Coturnix japonica: one gene and its partners. The protein of the gene in region 1 purifies or fractionates together with the protein of each later gene. This does not show direct contact. Links are inferred from orthologs where the notes say so. Each region holds a gene or a part of one and is shown in the gene's direction. Other genes may lie near its edges.

Region 1 (4,438 bases):
GATCCCCCCACCTGAATCTTAGGGGACCAGTGACCCCCTGCAAGGAGGGAACCCCAAAATGCACAGGCTCCTCCACCTACACATCCCCCTGGTGCTGCCATAGGCAGTGGGGACGGCACTGTCACCTTCTTCCCAGCCTGGAGAACAGCAGGAATATGCAGCATTGTGCCAGTCTGGTGCTGAATAATTAAGGAGCATTGACTTGCTGGCTTCAAAGTGGGAACCCAATCTGGTTGCTGTGGCTGGAAAGCTGGCAGCCATCCCTGCATCCCATAGGACAGAAATGGGTACAGGATCTGGGACACATTCACCTCTCCTCGGTGCTGCTTTCCCTTCCTTTATTCTGCCCTGCTCACAACTATGATCCCAGTGGAAGCTGGGTCACTGGGCAGGTGCCCATGTCCCCATGGGACATCCCAGGGCAGATCTCTGTGTCCCCATACCCCCACGAAACCCACTGACACCCCAGGGCAGATCCCCACATCCCTGTGGACAACCCAGGACACATCCCTATGTCCTTGGGGACAGCACTTACATCTGCCTTCCTGAACTTGGCCTTCAGGCTCTTCATAGCAGTCCCGTGGTACCTGGGTTGAGCCTTAAAGCCTCATCTGCCCGCTGGGGTCAGGCTGTAGGGATGTGGCTGTTGCAGAGGGCAGCTTTGAAGGCTTTTCTGCTGCTGCTACGGGTCCAGCTCAACACCAGCCCTGTCTGTACCTTGTCTCACTGCTGCTGGCCCACAGCACGACACGGGGGGGGGGACACACACACTGGCATTGGGTTACCTCTGCAGTTACAGCCCGGGGGGGGGGAACATGGGAGGGCCCAGCACCAGGCAGGGCAAGGAGCACTGACATCCTTGAAACCCCTGCACCCAGACACAGGGCAGCTGCAAGGGAGGGGGTACTATAGCAAGGCTGGGGAAGCCTCAGATGAGGGAGAGAAGGGTTTGAAACCATCACGATGCTTCAGGTTATGTGTTAAGGAGAAATATTTCATTCATAAGGCAGGGAGATGCTGGAACAGGTTGGTTAGAAGTTGGGGATGCCAATTGAAGGCACTCAGGGCTGGGTGGGATCCTGGGGATCATAACCCAGCAGCTGGTAACCCTGACCAGTGTATGGGAGTAGAACTAGATTATCTTTAAGGTCCTGTCCAACCTAAGCCATTCTATCACAGCCCTATTATGGATCTAGGTCTGCAGGCATTGTAAGACAAGGCATTTTAAGACAAGACATTGTAAGACAAGGTATTGTAAGACATGGCTGAGGCCAGCAGAGCTGATGCCCTCTGCCTTTGTATGCACTCATTGCATGGCACCTCTTAGCATAGGCAGCTCCTTGTCTTTTTCCACTCCAAGTTCTATGTTTTATAATGGATGTATTAGCAGGGTGAGGGCAGAGCTCCCTATTGCCAAACACAAAGATGGCGGCGAGGACTTCTCTAGGCGTGACTTTTGCGCATGCGTCTTGAGGCTGCGGCCTACTCTAGGCAGTGCTTTGCGCATGCGTCTTGAGGCTGCGGCCTACTCTAGGCAGGCCTTTGCGCATGCGCACTGATGCCGCGGCCTCCTTGCTCGCGGACCGACAACAATGAGCTCTCCGGTAGCCGGGACGGGTCATGGCGGTGAATTACGCGGCCGGGCTCTCGCCCTACTCGGATAAAGGCAAATGCGGCCTCCCCGAGGTGAGAGCGGAGTGGAGGGATCTCCTTGCATAGCCTGAGGCCTGCGAGGCCTCCATAGGGCCTCCATGGGGACCCCAAGGCCTCCATAGGCCTTGTGCCCCATGGGGACCCCAAGCACCATGGGGTCTTTGGGTTCCCCGGTCCCGGCCTCCGTTCCCTTCTTCCTATTGCTCTGTGTCCGTTGTCACCCCGTCTTCGTGTCCCCTTTATTCTTTAGGGCCGGCCCTTTACCTTGGGGTGGGCACTACTGGGCTGACCCCATCCCTATGTCCCCCCCAACCCCCACATTCATGCTCAATAAGCTTAAGAAAAGCTTTGGGGTGAGGATATGGGGCTGTAAAAGGGTCGGAGTTCTGTCCCATTCTAGGGAGCAAAGAACCGTCCTATAGAAATGAATTTGTGCTGTGCCAAAAATCAGAATGGGCCCATGACCCCCATCCATCGCTGTCCCCCATCCTGCTCTTTTTAAGCCTTATTCCCTCATTTTAAGCCTTATTCCCTCATTATGTACATTTGGCATTAAGCAATGTGAAATTTCCTTTCCTGCGTGGGGTTTCCATTGTGGATGTGATAGAAGAGTGGTTTGCTGACTCTTTGTGCCTACCAGGAGGCATGTAGGACCCATTTCTATATCCCCATTCACGTTGGGATTTGTTTCTTCTGCTCAGATTTTTGATCCACCTGAAGAGCTGGAGAGGAAGGTGTGTGAGCTGGCAGACTTGATAAGGAGCTCTTCCAATGTGGTGTTCCACACAGGGGCTGGTATCAGCACCGCTTCAGGGATCCCTGACTTCAGGTAAAGGCAGAGGGCAGCAGGCACTGTGTGTGTGTGGGGGGGGGGGGACACAACAGCACCTCATCTGAGTCCATCTTCCATCTAGGCTGGGCTTCCTGCCAGCCATCCTGCCTATAGGGAGACCTGTGCCATCCTTTCATGTCCTCTTTGCTCTTGTCTTGTCCTATATCCAGCTGAATCTACCTTTTCCTGTTTTGATTTTAAACTGTACCCACAGAAGCCCTACATGCATTTTGAACTAAAATAACCAGGAATGTGTGGTCCTTGTTTAGCAGTGCCTTGCTTGCACTGATAGGGCTTGGGATGCATTTACAAGCAGCGTAGCAGAGCCTGAGATCTCACTTATTCCTTCTCCTGTCCCATTGCTGCAGGGGGCCTAATGGTGTCTGGACTATGGAAGAGAAGGGGCTTTCCCCCAAATTTGACACCACCTTTGAGAACGCCAGGCCCTCCAAGACTCACATGGCACTTCTGGGGCTGCAGAGAGTCGGCATCCTGAAATTCCTGGTCAGCCAGAACGTGGATGGCCTTCATGTGCGCTCAGGATTCCCACGGTACTGCCTCTCCCACCCTGCCTCCAGGTTCCTTTAGTCTCTCCCAGATGCCAAAGCATGGCTGTTCTCCCTACCTTATTAAACCACCCTGGAACAATGTTTCTTGTGTTAAATGCACAAGGTGTTCTCCATTCATTTCTGTCATTTCTCTCACAGGGACAAGTTGGCTGAGCTCCACGGGAACATGTTTGTGGAGGAGTGCACGAAATGTGGCAAGTACGTGGGCAGCAGCAGGTGGGGGCTTTGTTGTTGTCCTAAGGAACAGTGGAGGGACTGCACAGACCTGGGGCTGCCTGTCAGGAGAGGTCCCTAGTGCAGAGTGCATGGAATCATGGTCAGATCTGTCCCATCTGAATCACAAACCCTGTCATATTGTGGGAAATAAACATTTTGAGAAACCTCTGTTGCCTGGGAAACCCTCTGCTCATTGTGGCAAGTGAGGCTGCCTGCTTAGAGAGGTAACAGAAGGTTGCTGCAGGCTGGGCTTTGCATCCTGGATGGTAACAGCCTCTCTTGGCCTTGGAGCTGATGTTCAAAGCTCCCTAAAAGGGAAATTATTGTAAGCAATAGCTGTGGTTTGAAATTGATGAAGGATTTGGGTGCCCAGCTCATTGCATGTGGCTCTGAGCCATCACCTGCTTCCTTCACTCCCAGGTGTCTGTGATGTGGAACATGCTGTATTGTGGGGATGTTTCACAGCTGTGTCACCTCTCTATGTGTGGCTGCTGTGAGTCACCCTATACGTGTGGCTGTAAATAACACCATCTCTTGTGTGTGCAGGCAGTACGTGCGGGATGCTGTTGTGGGCAGCATGGGGCTGAAGCCAACGGGCAGGCTGTGCAGCGTCACCAAAGCACGAGGGCTACGGGCCTGCAGGTACGTCTGCTGGGGCAGCTATGGGAGTAGGGGTGCTGGATGGGGCTTCCCAGGGTGCTGTGAAATGAAGAGGGGACACAGAGTACCTGGGAGGTAGGAGTGAGTGATTTTGATGTTCAGATTTTGTGTTGCAGGGCGACAGGGGGTCTGGGTTATAGAGCTGTTACTTGTCTCCTAGCCATCTCTGCTGACCATTCCTGCCTGGCAGGGTAACAGTGGTCCTTGTGTCTCTTATAGAGGGAAGTTAAGAGACACTATTCTGGACTGGGAAGATTCCCTGCCTGACCGTGACCTCACACTAGCAGATGAAGCCTGCAGGTACCATATTTAGAATTGAATATCATGACTGCTGATTGCTGCAGCTTGCAATGACCCAGGAGGGTGTCTATGCCCTTTGCATTCTGCCAGTACCACAGCAAGCAGCCCTTGGGTTTTATTTTTCTTACTTTCTCTCTTGGATATTTTATCTCCTCCCTGCAGAAAAGCTGATCTCTCTGTTACACTGGGGACCTCTCTGCAGATCAAA
Region 2 (3,645 bases), on another chromosome or scaffold:
AGTTCAGGAGAAATAAGGGAAGAGCAGCGTGTGTTTGTTTGTAGTGCAGTAACTTTGATACAATCCGATATTCTTTCAGTGCTCTCTGCTCCCCAGCAGCAAGTGCTGCACTGCTGACCAAAATAGATTGGACTTCTTCTGACCTTTTATAAATGCCCTTAATACAGTAGCACAGGCTTTACTTTGAAACATATGACTTTTAATTCTGATTGTGAAGTCAAGTGAGGTAAGTAGAACTTGGATCAACTGTAAATGACTTAGATACTTAGCAAATCCTCTTGGAGAACCACGCTTGTTTGCTACCTGCATTTTGCTGAGGGCACATAGCATTCCAACATTTAGTCATCCTATGAGGTAATGTCCCTTGCTGTGCAGCCTCTCCCACAGCTGGTTTGCTCCCCAGCAGTCTTCTCCCTCTCTTCAGCCCCAAAGATTGATGACTCTGAAAATACATTGGTTAAACTGCTTACCGTGTAAAACTGCTAATAGGTTTTGGTGTGTGCTTTCTACTGTGATTATGTGGCTTACGCTGTCTGCATGAGAACAGCAACACAAAAATGCTACTGTTTGATAGAGCTTTTCTTTAGTTTTCAGTTGACCAAAGAAATGGTGATGGAGAAGCCAAGTCCCCTGCTGGTCGGGCGGGAGTTTGTGAGGCAGTACTACACTCTGCTGAACCAGGCACCTGACTATTTGCACAGGTAAAGCTCTTGCTTCACTTCGTGATCAGTTTTTGTGTGATTTCCTTAAATTGTATGTTAAAAAAATCAGTAAATAAACTTATTCCTGTGTCTTAGATTCCTTTTTGAAGGTATTTCATTGTGCTTTGAGCTGGTATTCAAGCAGTTTTTTGAAGCCTTCCTTCTAATCTCAACTGTTAAGAAAGACTTTTTAGACCTTTTTTCTATTTAAGTGGGCAGACTAATCTGTTTGGCTGAGAGGAAAGTTTAGTGCATACTGTGAACTTGAGTTCCAGATTTTATCTGCCATCAGAATGCAGTTCCCTGATACTTGGCTTCAGTTATAAAGCCCTAGTTATAAAATGGGTAACTTACCTGCACTGCTTTAATTAATGCTGGCAGATACTGCTTCTTGCCTCAAACTTGAAGCCAGAGCTTGAGGACGGCCTCCAGTGTCCACTGTGTCCAGGGTAATGTTTCTTTATAGCAGGATAAGGAGAACAGGGTTGTGCCATCTAGTTCATATGGGAGAAGACTTCAGTCTTGGCTGTTATTGCTTGGGTACGTGACATATCTGAACACTACAGCTTACACAGGGAAACTTTATTTCCAATAGGTTTTATGGGAAAAACTCTTCCTATGTCCATGGTGGCTTGGATTCCAATGGAAAACCTGCTGATGCAGTCTATGGGCAGTCTGTAAGTATTTGGTGAAAAATTACTATCATTTACTACCTTCTCCTTTGTGTTTGGGACACATATCCAGCTGTGATTCATCCACTTTGTCAAGTGTCTTACTCTAGAGAAACATAGTGGATGGAAGGGATGCCATTCAGAGGGGCCTCAACAGATTTGAAAGGTGGGCCTGAGTGAATCTAATGAGGTTCAACCCAGCAAAGTGCAAGGTTTTGCACTTGGGTCAGATGGATCCTAGGCCTTTATTCAGACTGGAAGGGAGAATTGAGAGTAGCCCTGCAGAGAGGGGCCTGCAGCTCCTAGTGGATGAAAAGCTTAACAGGAGCCAGTGGTGTGCTCTTGCAGCTTGGAAAGCAAATGGTATCCTGGGCTCCATCAGAAGGGGGGGGCAACAGGGACAGAGAAGTGATTGTCCCTCTCTACTCTGCTCATGTTAGGCCCCATCTGGAGTGCTGTGTACAGCGCCCAGTACAAGAAAGACAGCTGTTAGAGAGTGTCCAGAGGAGGGCACAAAGGTAATCAAAGGGCTGGAACGCCTCCCCTATGAGGACAGGCTGAGGGAGCTGGGTTTGTTCAGCCTGGAGAAAAGAAGGCAGCAGGGTGACCTCATTGCAACCTTTCAGCATCTAAAGGAAGCCTGTAAATGGGAGGGGGGTCAACTCTTTAAAAGGATAGATAACAGCAGGACAAGGGGAAATGGTTTTGAGTTGAAGGAGAGAATAATTAGGTTGCATGTCAGGGGAAGTTCTTTACTTCACCTGACTAGTGTGTTACTAGTGTGGTAAAGTACTGGAACGGCTGCTCAGAGGGGCTGTGGGTGCCCTGTCCCTGGAGGTGTTCAAAGCCAGGTTGGACAGGACCCTAGGCAGCCTGGTCTAGTATTAAATGTGGAGGTTTGTGGCCCTGCTTGTGGCAAGGGGGCTGGAGATTCAGGTTCCTTCCAACCTAGGGCATTCTGTGAAAGGAAAGAAACATCTACCTAATTTTACACAGCAATAGTTAATCAAAATATGCTTCCTTTTGAAGTTCGTAGTGTAAAATGCTTGCAGAGCAAACTTAGTGCTTGCTGTTAAACTTTCTTGTTTATGTTTGGGAAATATATGTTTTTGGTTTTTTTCCTTCTTTCCTTGGAAGCTGCTAATTTAGCAGAAATGACTCTTACAGTATAACCTGTACTCTGTCCTTTATAGGATATCCACAAGAAGGTGCTGTCATTAAACTTCAAGGACTGCCACACAAAGATCCGTCACGTGGATGCCCATGCTACTCTCAATGATGGTGTTGTAGTGCAGGTGATGGGAGAGCTTTCCAATAACATGCAGCCCGTGCGCAGGTTCATGCAAACATTTGTGCTTGCACCTGAGGTATGCTATACTGAGTGATAACATTACTGCAGTGCTTATACCATCATGTCAAAGTTTGAGGCCTGTTTTGGTGTTGGAATCTCCAGTGTTGCATTGGGAAAGTAGTTTACCACATGTTTTTGTAGGAGAACTCTGCAAATTCTTAGGGAGTTTGTGCTACTTCTGCATGTTCATCAATTAGCCTTGGGTATCATAATTACAGATGTAAATACCCTGATGTGTGGCTTCTTGATATCTACAACTTTTTTTTTTCCTTATGTATGCTTTAAGTTGGTTCTGTCCTTAGTTTGCCTTCCTGGCTACATGTCCTTGTATTGGAAAAAGAGGGAAGAATAAACTGCTTTCTGCCCCTTGAAGACAGGATTTAGATTGTCTTGTTCGGTAAAGTGCTTACATGGCATTGAGGTGGCTTTCAAAATACACATTTTTGGACAAAAGGAAAATGGAAAAAGGGGAGGATTGCAAATTCACCTTATTTTTTCAGGTTGGTCTAGGACTAAGAATTAAAACCTTGAATCACATAATGCTCTGCTTAATACTTCATCAACTATAAGAATAAAAAGCATTAAACTTCCTGTTGTTTCACACATGCTTGACTTCCTAGCACAAGGTGTCCTTTTATCTGCATAGTGCACTTTTTTAAAGGAGGCAAGTTTGGATTGATCTTTTATATTTGTGGGGGACGGGTGACTTTCTTCAGCTGTTCTTGTTTTGTTACTTCAGTTTGATATTGCAGTCAATGTAATTAGTTTTCCCCCTTTTTTCTTCTAGGGTTCTGTTGCAAACAAATTCTATGTCCACAATGATATCTTCCGCTACCAAGATGAAGTTTTTGGTGACTCTGACACTGAACCTCCTGAAGGTGAGCACCAGCAGACTCCATGTATTTCCTTTGGTGTTTGTTCC
Region 3 (3,645 bases), on another chromosome or scaffold:
CACACACCTATCAATAAACAATGCTGGTGCTGCACACATCTGCCACGTGTGTTATCTGTGGGCAGGGTTGGCCTCTGCTGTCCCTGGGCATCTCTGAACTGAGCTCCAGGCTTGGTTCCTTTTATAAAGGAGCTCAGTAGCTCCCACTGAGACCAAATTAGCTTGGCTCCTGCTAGGCACTTATAGGGAAGAAATACAGCCGGCAGAACATTCTGTGATGCAGGCAGGCCTTGTAAAAAAAGGGCAGCCGTTATCAGTCAGCTGGAAAATCACCTGCAGTTTCTTCATTGAGGATGATGGAGAGGGAAGGATTTGATTGTGACCCCCCTGCTCCTGTCCAAAGGTGCAAGGCCACATGCAGGGCTGCCCCTGCTTCTGGATCAGTACAGCATCACAGAAGTTTTGGAGCTTTTCTGTGCTATTAGCTGGCTGCTGGCTGGAGTTCCCTGCACTGGGTGGCAGGGAGCCCTCTCATCCCATGAAACTCCTTGGAGGTGTCTGCACTGTACCTTTGTGCCACAGAAGGGCAGTGACGCAGCCTTTGGGGTACATGCCTCAGCCCCCTGCCTTCTGCCTCCCACATCCAAGTGTCAGTGTGAGCTCCCTCACAGCTCTCTTCATTCTGGCACCAGCCAGCTGGCAGAACAGACAGCACCTCAGCTGAGGAGTTGTACTGTGGCAGTTCCCCTGCTTACATGCCACATCTCAGGTTGTGATGCACAGTGACCGATGCACACCTTCCACATCTCTGAGTTCTCAAACCAGCTAGATGCTGAGCTGAGCATGCTTGAAGCATAACAGTGTTTCTTTCCTCCCTCATCCCAGTCAAAGCACTTTGCAAGGATTGTGTGGTAGAAAGATGTCGAATCCTGCGTCTGAAAAACCAGCTAAACGAAGACTACAAAACTGTAACCAGCTTGCTGAAGATAACAGTCAAGGGGTACGTGAGTCCTGGTGCCATCAGACACATTGCCAACGTGTTTTTAGCTGTGCTAACTAATGTCTAAGTTAGCTGTACCACTTGGGCTGTGACTTGCATTTCTAACGCTGCTGTTTCCCTGCAGGAGCGATGGGTTTTGGGTTGGAAAGGCGTCCTTGCGGAGCTGGCGTCAGTTGGCTCTGGAGCAATTAAATGAGCAAGACGAAGACGCAGAGCACAGCAATGGGAAACTGAATGGAAACACACCAAACAAAGGTAGTTCTGCTGCTGTAGAGCTCTGCCAGCTCTGACTGATTCCCCCCTTAACAAAAGACACGTCAGGTGTTCTGGCGTGTGTTGTTTTACTTCCCTTTTATGAGCGGGGAGGGAAAGCACTTTGGGTGGTTTGATATCACACAGCCTTAATTTCAGGAGCTTTTTATTTGATAAGCTTCAAAACTGCCAGGTGATCTTCGTACCCAGAGAAGAAGATGAGGTAATAAGTAGTTTTACAGAGCTGTGTACAATTACCACCCCAGGCACGTGATCTTTTCATCTCCTTTTATCTGAATGAGAGTGTGCAGGGGAAGGAAGAAACATGAACATTATCTTGGGGATGTTTACTGCAAAGGCCTACGGATGAAACAGCACAGCTGGTGGAGCAGCACTGGCAAAACATGGCTTAGAAAAAAATACCATGCGTTGGGTTCTGTTCTATCCGTGTATTGTGTTTGTAACAACTGGTGGGGATTTTTATTTGCCTTCTGTTATTTTATTTACTTTCCATTAGAAACCTGATTCCTTTTGAATCCTTTTTTCCTTTCATAACTGAGGGCAAGGAGCTCATTTGAATGGAAGTGGAGATCAGTTAATTGCATCGATCTTGGGCTGGAAGGCTCTGAGAACATCAGATACTGCAGTGATGCTGTCTGTAGGCTGCTGCTGGGGCTTGTGGCATCCACTGAGAAAAGGGCACTTCTCTTCCCTGCGTCAGCAGCTGAGGGGTCGTCCCACGTGCCGTTTCGTGGGGGTGCAGCCTGCTCTGAGAGCAAGGTGACCTCCCAGAAGTGCACTGTAACTGCTCACGAGCCAGCTTGCTCCTTCGTCACATTGCTGCACTGTGATGTTGCTGGTTTTTCTGTTACTCTCACTCAATGGCCAATGCTTCTGTCTGCAGAGCAGTTCTGAACTCCAGTGTAGCAATGCTCACGCTGGATATCAGAGCGTGGAGCAGAGCACACTGTGCTGTGATGCTCAGCCCTCGCCTAGAGGTTTGAGTTAGCTCTGAGCAGTGAAGCCCTGTGGTGCTGCAGCTGGAACAAATGCACCCTTTGTCATATCACAAAAGATGCTCTTGTGCTCCACGTGCTTCAAAGCGCTTCAAAGCACTCCATGCAGCCTGGCCTGCAGGCACAGGCCCATGTGTTGGAGAAGAACAGAATAACACTTCCCAGGTTTCCCCTGGGCTGAGAGCTCTGCTGAAGAGAAACCAGACTCCTCCCCCCAAAGGTTTCCCCTTTTCTTCAGTGAGAAATGATACAATCTTCTTAATTTTTCTTTTTTTTTTTTTTTTTTTTAATTAGATGAAGCGAACGAGGAAAAGAGAGAGGAGGAAGAAGAGTTAAATTTTAATGAGGACATTGTTTGCCCACATGGTAAGTCTCTGCGGGGGACGGAGCTGAACACTTCTGTTGTTGCCCACTGTTCCAGATGTTCACCTCTTAGCCTGGGACCAGCATGAGCAGTTACCACAGAAACATGTTGTTATTCTCATTTTCACATTTCCTGACATTAAAAAACATGAAGCAAGTGGTGCAAAGGGCACGAGCACAGCCCAGCCCCTGAAGAGGAACGTGGGTGCTGCGTGGGGCTGCAGCATTGCTCTGAGAGCAGTGGGAGATGCTAGAGAAAGCAGACAGCGTCAGGTTGTTCTCCCTGTATCAGAAGCACTTACCACCACAGCTGCAGAAAATCCACTGTTTCTATTTGCATCCGGGGCACCCAGGCATATTGATTCCCCCACCTGCTGTGCTTTGGTGTCCACTTACATCAGGTTGTGACCTGATGTTGGCTGTTTTGCTCCGTGCTTTGCTTGGTTAGCTATGCTGCTGCTTGGATCTCACTGCTTGCCCGACCTGCCTGTGTTCTGCTGGAGGCTCCTGTTGGCAGGCATCCATCAATTAGCAGCACACCTCCTGTCATTAGGGCTCATCAAGGCTGTAGGGTAATGGTGTTTGAACAGTTTGTCGCAGCACTACCTGCTTTTCAGAGAGAGTTGTTCCCAGTGCAGAAAAACTGCTGCTGGCAAACAGGAGCACCTAATGCCGGCAAGCAGCGTGGAAGCAGGCTGCTGGGGTTGTGGCAGTGTTACGCTGCTCAGCTGCTCATTGATCTGATACTTTGGGCCATATTGGAGCACATGGGCGCCTGGCAGGTTTTGTTTCACCTGCTGGAGGTAACCTTTGGCTCCTTGTGGAGAACAGCCCCCTTTCACCTCTGCATGCTTCAGATGTTCCTCTGCAGCGTATGGGCTGAGGTGTCGGTAGGGTAATTATGCCTTTATGGGTTGCTGGCTGTATGGTGCGTGGGGCAGCTGAGGTTATGCAGCAGAGATTTTGTTCGCTGAGGCTGCAGGAAGCACTCAGCTCCTCTTCCACAGGGCATGGGTTTGTCTGCAGCCCACAAAACAGAGTCACCCTGACCTCACAGCTCTGTAGCCATGGTCG

The links.
Region 2: the proteins of SIRT6 (region 1) and G3BP1 purify together in Homo sapiens (affinity purification with mass spectrometry; 3 studies listed by BioGRID and IntAct, with this or other methods). This does not show direct contact. The link is inferred for Coturnix japonica from reciprocal best matches to the Homo sapiens genes SIRT6 and G3BP1.
Region 3: the proteins of SIRT6 (region 1) and USP48 purify together in Homo sapiens (affinity purification with mass spectrometry; 3 studies listed by BioGRID, with this or other methods). This does not show direct contact. The link is inferred for Coturnix japonica from reciprocal best matches to the Homo sapiens genes SIRT6 and USP48.

The regions. Positions count from the first base shown.
Region 1 is NC_029543.1:1,710,176-1,714,613, forward strand, and holds the start of SIRT6 (NAD-dependent protein deacetylase sirtuin-6), read left to right. Parts: upstream 1-1,538; 5' UTR 1,539-1,620; coding exon 1,621-1,686; intron 1,687-2,354; coding exon 2,355-2,482; intron 2,483-2,853; coding exon 2,854-3,036; intron 3,037-3,192; coding exon 3,193-3,252; intron 3,253-3,816; coding exon 3,817-3,912; intron 3,913-4,149; coding exon 4,150-4,230; intron 4,231-4,392; coding exon 4,393-4,438. UniProt on the Homo sapiens protein: NAD-dependent protein deacetylase, deacylase and mono-ADP-ribosyltransferase that plays an essential role in DNA damage repair, telomere maintenance, metabolic homeostasis, inflammation, tumorigenesis and aging.
Region 2 is NC_029528.1:5,172,760-5,176,404, forward strand, and holds part of G3BP1 (ras GTPase-activating protein-binding protein 1), read left to right. Parts: intron 1-587; 5' UTR 588-606; coding exon 607-701; intron 702-1,296; coding exon 1,297-1,378; intron 1,379-2,565; coding exon 2,566-2,739; intron 2,740-3,510; coding exon 3,511-3,601; intron 3,602-3,645. UniProt on the Homo sapiens protein: Protein involved in various processes, such as stress granule formation and innate immunity. Plays an essential role in stress granule formation.
Region 3 is NC_029536.1:5,729,729-5,733,373, forward strand, and holds part of USP48 (ubiquitin carboxyl-terminal hydrolase 48), read left to right. Parts: intron 1-825; coding exon 826-940; intron 941-1,064; coding exon 1,065-1,195; intron 1,196-2,502; coding exon 2,503-2,574; intron 2,575-3,645.